Oryzias latipes: one gene and its partners. The protein of the gene in region 2 binds, or shares a complex with, the protein of the main gene of each other region. Links are inferred from orthologs where the notes say so. Each region holds a gene or a part of one and is shown on either strand. Other genes may lie near its edges.

Region 1 (3,655 bases), on a different chromosome or scaffold from region 2:
GTGTGTGTGTGCAGATGTGGGAAGCAGAGGCAACAAAAGACAGCTATTTGTTTGCCAAGTCAGAACATGAGCACACAAACTCATGTAACTCAGTTCCATCTCCACACAAAAGAAATTTCTTTATTGTATATTTTGTTGTTGAATATTGTGTTTCTGATTGTTTGAAAAGATTTTCATGGTCATCCTAGTTCACAGCTTTTAATGTGGAATATGATGGCTAAAACTGCTTTACTGGCTATTTATACACGCTTCCTTTTAAATTTATTTGTGTAACTTTTTTCTAACTCTTCTGATCCTTCAGTTTAGCGTATTAAGGTCTTTAGTTGTGGTTACTCGCTGCTACATGTGTGTTTGTGATCACATACACATGACAAAACAGGAGAGAAGAGACGTGGTTTCTGTCTATGTCAGATCAGCTGGGAGCACAAATGCTACCGCAGCAGCTTGTTAGGATGTGTGTTGTTTCTGAGTGTGCGGAAAAGACAAGAGCTGGAGAAAGCTCGTGCTTTTCACAGTCAAGTCAAACTTGTGCTCAGTAAAAGCCACAAAAGTCTGATCCTAAACTAAAGTCTGTGTTTATTCTTTAGATTTCTAGATTACTTTAAAGCTCTGTTTTAACATTTAAAAACTTAAAAACAAAGACATCTTTTCATTCTTGATTTAGGTGTTTATGTCTGAGTTGACAGAAAGCAACAGGCATGCGCATTTCTTTTGGTTGAGAGGATGCAGAAAGCTGTGAATGACGAGGACAATGAATGAAAAGCAAGCATAAAAGGAGCATCACAAAGCCTATAATAACACTGAGTGGGAGAAACGCAGGGAGGGAAAGACAGGAATGGATGGAGGCAGGGTTGGCAGGCGTCGGCGCAGACACACTCCTTGACCACTGTAAGGAAAGGGGCGTAGGCCAGGTCTCCCATCAATTACAACCTTGACCCTCCTCTTCTCTCCTCTCACACACTTTCTGCTTCATTCACCCCCCCACCCCTCCCCTGCCTCTTATCCTCCCCTGGCCCCTCTCCTCTGCTCCTATAAATCAATCTCTTTTTCCCCCCCACTTCTTCCCTCCTTTCGCCAAGCCTGCTCCCACCTTCCCCCTCTAGTCTTGCTGCTACCAACCCTCCTCTTCATCCCTTGGCACTCCTTTACTTCCTTTCGTTGCTGGAAGTGCAGGAGGAGCAGAAAGGTCAGGCGGGAGGGACAAAGAAGTAAGAAGCAACGAGGGACTGTAAAATGAGAGTAAATTTATTCAAAGTGGTTGGAGGGAGAGCACAACTTCTTCTCATGTTAGAAACAGCTTTTGTTTACAGCTATGTGCCTGTTATTGCGCCTTCCTCTGATCTTTTTTTTATTCACATGCATTTAACTTATCTGTTTGGGGTAAAACATGATGATAACGAAAGTGTTGTTATATGAAGAAACTCCATTTTATATACATCCAGAGTATAAATGTGAACATGAGCAGGAATGTAACACATAGATGTGCCCAGTGGAGAAACTCTTACTTATTTCTTAAGTATGTTACATGTAGCCTTGTTTCACACACGTTTGTTGCAGTCAGCCCCTTTTAACACTGCAATAGCCCAAAATAAATCACATTGAAAAATGTTAGGTCAGTTTGTATGTTATAACACATTTACATGACCTCATCTTTTAATGTTTGCATTAAAGTAAGGACAAACTTTTAAAGAATTTCCTGTTATTAGGACATTTGGTCTTAATATCTGTTTTCCAAATTAGCAGGTTTGCACTTCAAATCAAGGGTGCTAACGTTCTGAGACTGGCAGTGGTGTATACTACAGAGAGTGCACCCTGAACCGCTATCATATCTCATATTTTGATTTACTTTAAAGAAAACCGTACTGCAAGAAAGCAGGACGAGAAGAACCTGGGCTTGTTTGCTGTCAGATTGGGTTTAAGCGCTAGCCTTTACAATGCTACATGTATCACAGTTATCAGAGAAATGTAAGGAAGAGACCTTTTCCCTTACCCTCCCTCAGCATGCCAACGGTCAGACACTTCATGAAGCGGCAAGCCTGGCATGACTTGCGTCTCCTCTTGGTTATCTCACACTCGTTGGTGGCTGGACAGCTGTACTCGATGTTGCCTGCAGTACATAGATATGCGGGAAGAAGCCAAAGACAGGTTTAACTTCCGATAAAGTCCTCAACAGACACAATACAAACACAGAGCATGGATTATTGGGAAAAATAAAAAGTTTGTTTTAATACTTATAATTGCTAGGTGTTTGTGTATTATTTTTTCTTTTAATATTAGCGTTTAAATCAAACCCTTTCACCATTTACTACAAAGACCCCTGCTTTCCCCCTCTTTTGCCCCTTGATGATAATTAGACATGGATATTTTGCACCCAACAGAAATACACTATTTTTTGCTTTTTTTTAGAACTAATTTTATATCGTGATATATTTTGATACCAATATAGTTTCTTATACCCATGCCAACCTGACAGCAGAGACCCAACAAGCCAATACATCTCCCAGTGAAACCGAGTAAACAGTGATTGCTATTGACTGCTGCTGTGGAGAGGATGTTTTCTCATTACTGGACTGATTAAAGAGCTAGTTAGCTTGGGAAAAAAGGCTAAATGCTCCAACACTTCTTAATGGGTAACAAGACACACATCAATTGCCCTTGTTGGTTAAAGTAAAGGCTAAACCTTCTAAATACTGCAGGAACAAAACATTCTAATGGATGCTACTAATGAGACTAGTTATCTCACAACTAGCCTTTACAAGCCGATGGTACAGGAGGAGTAGATTAATCCTGCAGATAGGAGAGGCACTTTCTTTAACACTCAGCCTAAATGTGCTAATGACAGAATTCACAAGGCTTAATGGGCAATCAGTAAAAAGCCGTGTTATTTAAAAGGAGCTAAAAAGCCCAATTTAAAGGCAGTGAAGAGCCACTGCGAGAGCTGGTGCTTCGAAGACTCTGCAGAAAAAGCATCTATGACCAGATTGATAAGCTGGTCTGTGAAACAGTAAAACATCAATTGTATTTGTTCATTGTATTAATATTGAAAATGTTGGCTAAATAGCAGTTAATGGTACTCTTAACTCAAGTGCAACTTGTGTGAATACCTTGTTGGGTTAATTTGAATTACGGCCTGCTGCACAGTGTTATATGCAGACAATCATCACTCTAAATGCTCAGAAACAGCACAAATACAAACGTATGGATAGAAAAGGAATCAAGAAGCCAAATCTTTAAATTGAAATTAATCCCTCCCTGTATCATATATTAATGTATGTTTGCCTGCTGCATTGCAGATAACCACTACTGTACAGACATCCTTTTTTTCTGCATTTTCTTTCATTTTTATCTTTTTTTATTGCACCATCATAGAAGAAGAAAAAGTTTTTTTTGTTTCACTGCCCTACACCTCTGTGCCATATTTTGGCCTCCTCCACTTTCCCCTTTATCCCTCCTTCTCAATAAGGGAGTGATGGATGCAAGTTGTCAGGTGTCGTTGGACTGACGCCACAGAAACAGCAGCTGCCAGACCCACTTCCTCCACTTTGTGACACACACACGCAAAAACACTCTAACACACACCTGCCTCTAATTCCTTTCTAGATTCATGTGCCCAGTCCACCTCTCCCACTTCAAGCTTCTTTTTTTTCCTCATTTC
Region 2 (3,054 bases):
TTGGTAAGTTTATAACTTGAATAACCACCTAAAAAAAAAAAAAAGGGGGGAACATTTTTGGATGACCAAAATGCATTAAAAAAGGTGACCAATAGAATGACAGAGTAACAGCTGTTTATTTCTCAGTAGAAATCTATTGGATTTTGGTTTCTTGGAGCCAACAGGTACTTCCTGCTTGGAGCGCCGGGGGGGTCACTCAGTCAAGTTTTCTCATACAGTCAATGGTCCAGACGTTAAAAATAAATGTAACCAGGAGTATTCTAGAAGAAAAGAACCGTTCTCCCCTCATGTCCCCCACCAGCCAACTCTTTTCTCACACATTGACTTCATTATCAGCAGGTTTTCTCAGACTTCCTGTATTGGGATTATTATTGTTGTGGGAGAAAAATCATCTCCTTAAAACCCTGCGTTCCCCGTTTCAGTGTTTGTTTCCACTTCAGGAAGCCATCAAGTAACCATTTCAGCTGCAGAGAAATACATTTAGAGCACTTTCAGATCAAAATGTCAGTATAAAACATTATTATGATCAATCAATGGTTCTTTACAATCAAACAAACTGAAAAAAAATGGACACATTCATACTAAGTCATGCATTTTAGAACTTTATTTCTGCGATATCAGTGCAAATGAACACCAAAAAAAGAAAACATAAAAAACAAAATAATGCTTCAGCTTTTCACATGAAAAAAAGAAACATTTTTTTTATTATATTTATATATTTGCTGCTACAAATGCAATTCTGAGATGCACAATGCAGATCTATGATTGTACGTCAGTCCCTCACTACAGCCCCATGCTCGTTCCCAGAGCTTTGTTAACCAGTAACAGAAAGGAAAATCACCAAAATATTCAATGCACGTTTAATTTTCATCAACTTGCTCAAGAGTCTGTGGTTACCCGGGGACCGCTCATCTTCAAAGCAAACCTCTCGCTCACTCTGAGATGAAGAAAAAGGACCTATTTTAAGACTTGACATTTCCCCCGTCACCAGTAGGGATACACAGGTAGTTCCCATGCGTCTGCATGCAACAGGCAGCAGTGAGGAGAGTGGGACATTATTACACAACACAGCGCAGGATAGATTATCGTTTACCACACAGAGACACATGCAAAGAACAAACCAACCAAAAGAACATGGGCACATCATCCTCTGCCTTTGTATGTACACATGTACGCATATAATTCATATTTACACATCAGGGCATTAAAAACTAGGGTAATATCTTTTTTTTTAAACATTACAAAATAGTCATCTTTCATAATGAAAGTACTATTTACACAAATATATTTAACCATCGTGAAAATGTATTAATCATAGAAGAGACAGCTATATGTATTAAAAAGATCACAAGACTGAATGGAGAAAGCAGTGAAATCAACTGAGAGGAATACAGTACGATGTAAACTGAAGAGCTAGAAACAGACAATCCTTCCAGACAGTAATCTGTCAGGAAGAGCTGTACTCTGGGCTGGGGGGGGGGGGGGGGGGGGGGGGGGGGTCCAGCTTTAAAAACAAAGAAGTACATGTGGACTTCTCTTTATTATCATGCGATTCTTTTGACATTTAATGAACAAGATATTGCCACAGGAAGAAAAAAAGATGCCCATAAACCACAGCAATTAAGAGATAATGTGAAAAAAAAAATCACAAACTGTCAAATTCTCAACAGATAACAATACTGACACAGTTTCATTACATGTCTATAAATCCCTGTCAGAGGACAGCGAGGACTCAGCTTCAAAAGTGCAAACTTCAGGCAGTCTCTTTCACCGTCAACACCAGAGGGGAGGCCTGTGTGCTTCACACTCTTACATGTGTGCATGAAAAAAAGTAGTGTGGGTTTTTCCAGGATGGTAAGATAAGTTGGTGAACCAGTGCAACCTTTAGCTGTTGCTCTAGAAACCTGTTTGTATGCAGTTGTTCAACTGCACAAACTCTGATGACCCATCTGCTCAGAGAGGCGCAGTCTGCAAACACGCTGCCTCCAATCTGCACCGTCGAATGTTGGCCCAAAGGGTGCAACTCTAATGGAACCAAAACACGCTGACCCACCTGCGGTGAGTTACTCTTTTACCGCTGTGATCATAGCACGTCCTGACAGAGCCAGCAGACTCCTCTCTGAAGATCCCACAGCTCTCATTTCACCACCAGAATCCCCCTTCAAACGCATCACTGTTGTAGGAGACCCCTGTGCCCTCCAGGCGACAGCTTTATTAACAATCCTTTTGGAAATTTACGGGACCATCTGAATAAGTTGCAACAGAGAAAATAAATAAACTCTAAATTGAGCGGGTTTTTTGGAATCAATGATAAACATTGCTTGAAATGTTATTTGCAAATGAAGAGAGGCAAAAAAAAATGACAATAGCTTGCTATGAGCTCAGTTCAGGTAAAGTGGAAAAAAAGGATTATGGGATACTTCAAGGAACAAATGAAGACCAAAATAGTGGGGGGAAAACAATCAGACTGTAATTTTGGTTACATAGGTTTAGCACTTTGCTAATACAGACCACTACTGTACCATTCAAAAAACCTCACCATCTTGAAAAAAGCAACACAAACAGCTTTTCTTTTTATAACTTTCAATTTTCAGAACAAAAAGAAAATCACTCGCATGTTCTTATCAAACCAGTTTGGCAAAATTCATTCAAAATGATGGGGAAAGAAAAGGGTTAATGAACTAGAATCAACATCTGCAGCAGAGAACACCTACTGGGAGGACTGACTCAACCCCGGGCTCTCATGGCTGTGCTTCTCTTCTTTGTGGGCTGGAGACTGTGGAGCCGAGCTCAGACTGTGTTCGTAGGCATGCATGTCACTGATCGGCTCTTCTTTGACTCGGACCACAGATGGTGCTTCCTCTGCTTGATCCCTTGCTTCCTTCCTCAGCTGAATGCTGCCCCTTTGTAGCATGTAATACAGGATGGGGTTGGAACGCGAGAGCCGTGGAGAGTCTGGGTTTGAGTCACAACAGTCCTCCTCCTGCTCTTCGTTCTCCTGACTATTCCACCGAACAGGGCTCTCCGGTTCCTGTTTCACTAGAGTTGGGGCGT
Region 3 (3,655 bases), on a different chromosome or scaffold from region 2:
AAAACAAGTTACAAAAATAGAAGCTTTTACAACCAGACAAGGCTTTGAATATTCACTCTCCCTTCGCTGTTTCGTCTGTGTCCTGTTAAAGGCACGGCTGGGCGAGAAAGCTGAAAGTCACTCTTAGAAAACAAAGGAAGAAAGAAACAAAAACAATCAAATGTGCTTGAAATAAAAGAACGTCTGTCCTCCACTAGGGGGCAGAGTTGGATCATAGTGAGTGTTTTTATTTTTTATTATTTCAGTCTGACCGCATAGATTTTTGTTGTAATTTAATAGTTTGATCATTTAAAAACGATTTCCCCAAATTTGAGCAAAAGGGAACAATTTATAAATTAAATACAGCAAAAGTCAATATGCATCAAACATATAGGCTACGATAAAAAATGTTTTTTGTCAAATTTAGGTAATTTTTTTTTTTACTTTACACTAATTAAAGGTATAGTATTATTTTATCATCAGAGGGAGAATCATATTTATGTTTTTTGGAAGTTAGCACAGTGTTTTCAACAAAAAAGATCCAAGGAAACCAAACAAAAAGAAACTAGCGAGTGTCTTAAGCTTGCCTTCTCATCCGTGCCTCTTTGATCACCACCCAGCCGTCCTAACAGAATTCCCGAACACTTCCAGATCCTAATCATCTGCAGCTCCCGGGACTAACCCCTGTGACCGTGTTTCAACTTGTATTTCTTGTGCACATGCAACACATCACTAGGTAAATATACAAGTCTTAAATTAAAGAAAGGTGTAAATAAAAGTGCCTTATCAATTCAACAATTAAGAATGGTCTAACTACTAATATCATACATGTTATTTAAAATAGATTCTATAAACATTTTTTTTCTGTATAGTAAGTACTTATGACCATATACCCTGTAGTACATTATAAAACAGGTGGAATGGACCCTTTTTGTTGTGTTGGTGCTTCTCAGGGGGCACCTGTCCAAAGAGAGATTAATAGCAGATGGCCTTACATGATTTCACTATGCAACAATGGTGGATGAAATCCTTGACAACTAAAATTCTTGTGTTTTCATTAGAATTACCAGAATTCTAGATTTCTTTTCTCTTTTACTTCTTTTTAAACGATTGTCCGTAGAGAGGCCCCGATTGCGTCACCATGCCAGAGGAAACCTCCCTGAAAGTCGCTGTGGGTTTTCGTTCCAAGCACTGCATCCAAAAAAGATGCGACAGAACACAAAGACAGGAGTGGCTGAACTTGACCGAAATGTGCGCCTTTGTCAGTTATTTATCTGTACGAGAACGTGATTCTGATGGTGAAAACCCTAAAGCGGCGAGCGGAGTGCAACCTGGAGAAGAATACTGATGTGGTCTAAAAAGATCCTCTTAACTCTACATGTGCGCAGGTCACTTCTCTGGCGGTGAATTTTCAGACTAAATGAAGTGTGAGATTTAAAAAGCGCAGAAGAGAGTCAAGTTCAGCCGAACAGATCTTCCTATCTCCTTATCGTGTCCCGTGGGGTGTCGGGTCCTGCATGCCATTCCAAAGACAACTTAATTTAATAAAGTAAACCTTGACAATCAACCCCCCAACGCACCCCCCATGCCTCTTCAGATGTAAAAGAACAAGTTGAACAGCGTGCCATGTGTCCACTCCGGTTTGTGCAGGGCACCAGTAAAGTGTCTCAGATTCCTCCGCCACATTCCCCTACGATGGGCACGCTGGCACCCGGCAGGGCTGCTACCCGTCAACGGGCATGGACTGCTCAAAGTCTGATCCAAACAGCTCCTTGTATAAGGGGGGGAAGTGGGCACGCACAATGTCTGGGTATATTGCTTTGAAAGCTGTGAGCTTCTCTGTATGCCTACTGCACAGCGCTCGCAGTGTCGACACTTTGCATATCAACTGTGGAGAGAGAGGAGACAGGTTGTTTAGATTCTCGGGGAGGCGAGGACATGGAGCAATGGCAGTGAAAAACAGTCCTCCCTACAGTGTTTTTTGTCCCACACAGGGGTAAAACAGACTTGTAAATATTGAGACAACTGCTGAGGCACAAGGAAAATCTGACGCTTTTTATTTTTTTTATTAAAGAGCCGATGCAATTGATAAATTGCCATTTTTCCTGTGACTTTGTGAAAGTCCCGCTTTCTTGATAAGAGTAGGCCAATTTTCCTGAAACAACTTTTTAGTTTCTCAAAGTCCCACTCTGATCACCTTTTGAGCTATTGTAAAATAGTTATTAGTGGTCTATTAATTATGATTATGCTTTTTCTAGCCAAAAAAAACTTGTTTTCTAGGACATAGTTTCTGCAGAGCGCCAGTACCGGTAGTCATTTCCCATCATCCCTTTGTTTACATATGCTCCTCCTAGGTTACAGCCCCTTACGATCCCAACCAAATATTACTAGTGCAAGAAAACTGACGAGCAGTAGTGGAGCTATCCAGCCGTGCAGTTTTGAGCTGGATGACAGCTCAGTTTAGGAAACAAAATCAAGACGTTTGTGGATCTAGTCATCTGCAAGTGGATGCATCAGAATGGGGTGGAGCTGGGAGCTTGTGGACTGCGGTTGTAGGTACTACGTCACACCTACAAGCTTTTTACAACGGCACACTTACATCTGCTCCTAATTCACAACTATTTGAATATAGACATATTCAGAAATCCAATTTTAAGCTTAATTTTCTTTATATATGTTTTCCATCATCAGAAAAATGCCACAAGAACAGGTAAAAAACACCAGAAAGACAATTTTCATTGGAGTGGGTCTTTAAATTTCAGTTTTTGCAGTGAAGGTGTTTTTTGGCTTTTAGATGAAGATCCAAAACAGTGTCACTGTGAGAGTTACTTCAACTTAGCAGACATGCAGTTTCAGGGATAATACATAAGTGTTGAATGCATTTCACCTTTGTAAGTATACCATCCTCTCTGTGGTTCTTCTGCAAAACATGCTGGAGGGCCAGCTGAATCTTCTGCTGGAGTTTTTCCACCTTCACTTTTTCCTGGAGCCAGGACCGGTCTGGAGGGGGGACATCGTCACAACTATCATTCCAATGAAACTGACACTAATTTCCGAACCAGTGGTATGAGGTTTTAGTTGGGATATGCATGAAGGGCAGCAGTATGGAATTGTTGTATGGAGTGTATGTGTGTGTGACTGACACCTACCAGCAGACATCAACACAAAGGCAGAGAACAGGGCGATCTCATCCTCAGACAGGTGCATAGAACACAAGTTTTTCCCAAACTCGAAGACGGAGCTGATCAAGTCGTCACAGCCTGCCACAGCAAAGGACAGAGAGAAGGGGCGTCGGATGAGCAAGAGCAAAGAAAAACACTCACTCTTGATCTTTATTGGGAGAGAGGCGCACAGGGAGGGGAGACGAAGGGGAAGAGATGAAAAAGAGCGGCATGCTGACAGCACATGGGAGCGTCTTAAGCAGAAGAGGCAATGCTTTTACTGAGTTTTGCCTCCCAGACGAGTCACTTTTGGCAGTTCGGTGGTGTTACGCAAGCCAAAATGAGGTCACTATTGAGGCTTTTAGTTAAATCAATTACGGGAGACAGAAAGAGAGAGACAGGCGGGTGCCACCGCGACTCAGAAAGCCCGTCATCACCCACCCCTCCCCCTCCCTTCGCCACGGACTCCTTGCACACCCCTCACAGGACACTGGGACGCATACGCTCATATACAC

The links.
Region 1: the proteins of nrip1 (region 2) and estrogen-related receptor gamma type 1 are in contact, whole or in part, in a crystal structure (PDB 2GPP), measured with the Homo sapiens proteins. The link is inferred for Oryzias latipes from reciprocal best matches to the Homo sapiens genes NRIP1 and ESRRG. Residues at the interface, in NP_001426204.1 of Homo sapiens: Ser378, Leu379, Leu380, Leu381, Leu383, Leu384, Lys385, Ser386, Gln387; in NP_001429.2 of Homo sapiens: Val277, Ile280, Lys284, Phe289, Leu294, Gln297, Met298, Leu301, Gln302, Lys448, Leu449, Glu452, Met453.
Region 3: the proteins of nrip1 (region 2) and rora are in contact, whole or in part, in a crystal structure (PDB 4S15), measured with the Homo sapiens proteins. The link is inferred for Oryzias latipes from reciprocal best matches to the Homo sapiens genes NRIP1 and RORA. Residues at the interface, in NP_001426204.1 of Homo sapiens: Thr499, Leu500, Leu501, Gln502, Leu504, Leu505, His507; in NP_599023.1 of Homo sapiens: Gln332, Val335, Lys339, Phe344, Met345, Gln349, Gln352, Ile353, Leu356, Pro505, Leu506, Glu509, Leu510.

Annotation. Positions count from the first base shown.
Region 1 is NC_019861.2:25,281,664-25,285,318, forward strand, and holds part of estrogen-related receptor gamma type 1, read right to left. Parts: intron 2,108-3,655; coding exon 1,991-2,107; coding exon of another isoform or gene 1,979-1,990; intron 1-1,978. UniProt on the Homo sapiens protein: Orphan receptor that acts as a transcription activator in the absence of bound ligand. Binds specifically to an estrogen response element and activates reporter genes controlled by estrogen response elements.
Region 2 is NC_019872.2:2,660,567-2,663,620, reverse strand, and holds the end of nrip1 (nuclear receptor-interacting protein 1), read right to left. Parts: coding exon 2,711-3,054; 3' UTR 587-2,710; downstream 1-586. UniProt on the Homo sapiens protein: Modulates transcriptional activation by steroid receptors such as NR3C1, NR3C2 and ESR1. Also modulates transcriptional repression by nuclear hormone receptors.
Region 3 is NC_019864.2:17,182,176-17,185,830, forward strand, and holds part of rora (nuclear receptor ROR-alpha), read right to left. Parts: intron 3,240-3,655; coding exon 3,129-3,239; intron 2,980-3,128; coding exon 2,867-2,979; intron 1,868-2,866; coding exon 1,703-1,867; 3' UTR 1-1,702. UniProt on the Homo sapiens protein: Nuclear receptor that binds DNA as a monomer to ROR response elements (RORE) containing a single core motif half-site 5'-AGGTCA-3' preceded by a short A-T-rich sequence.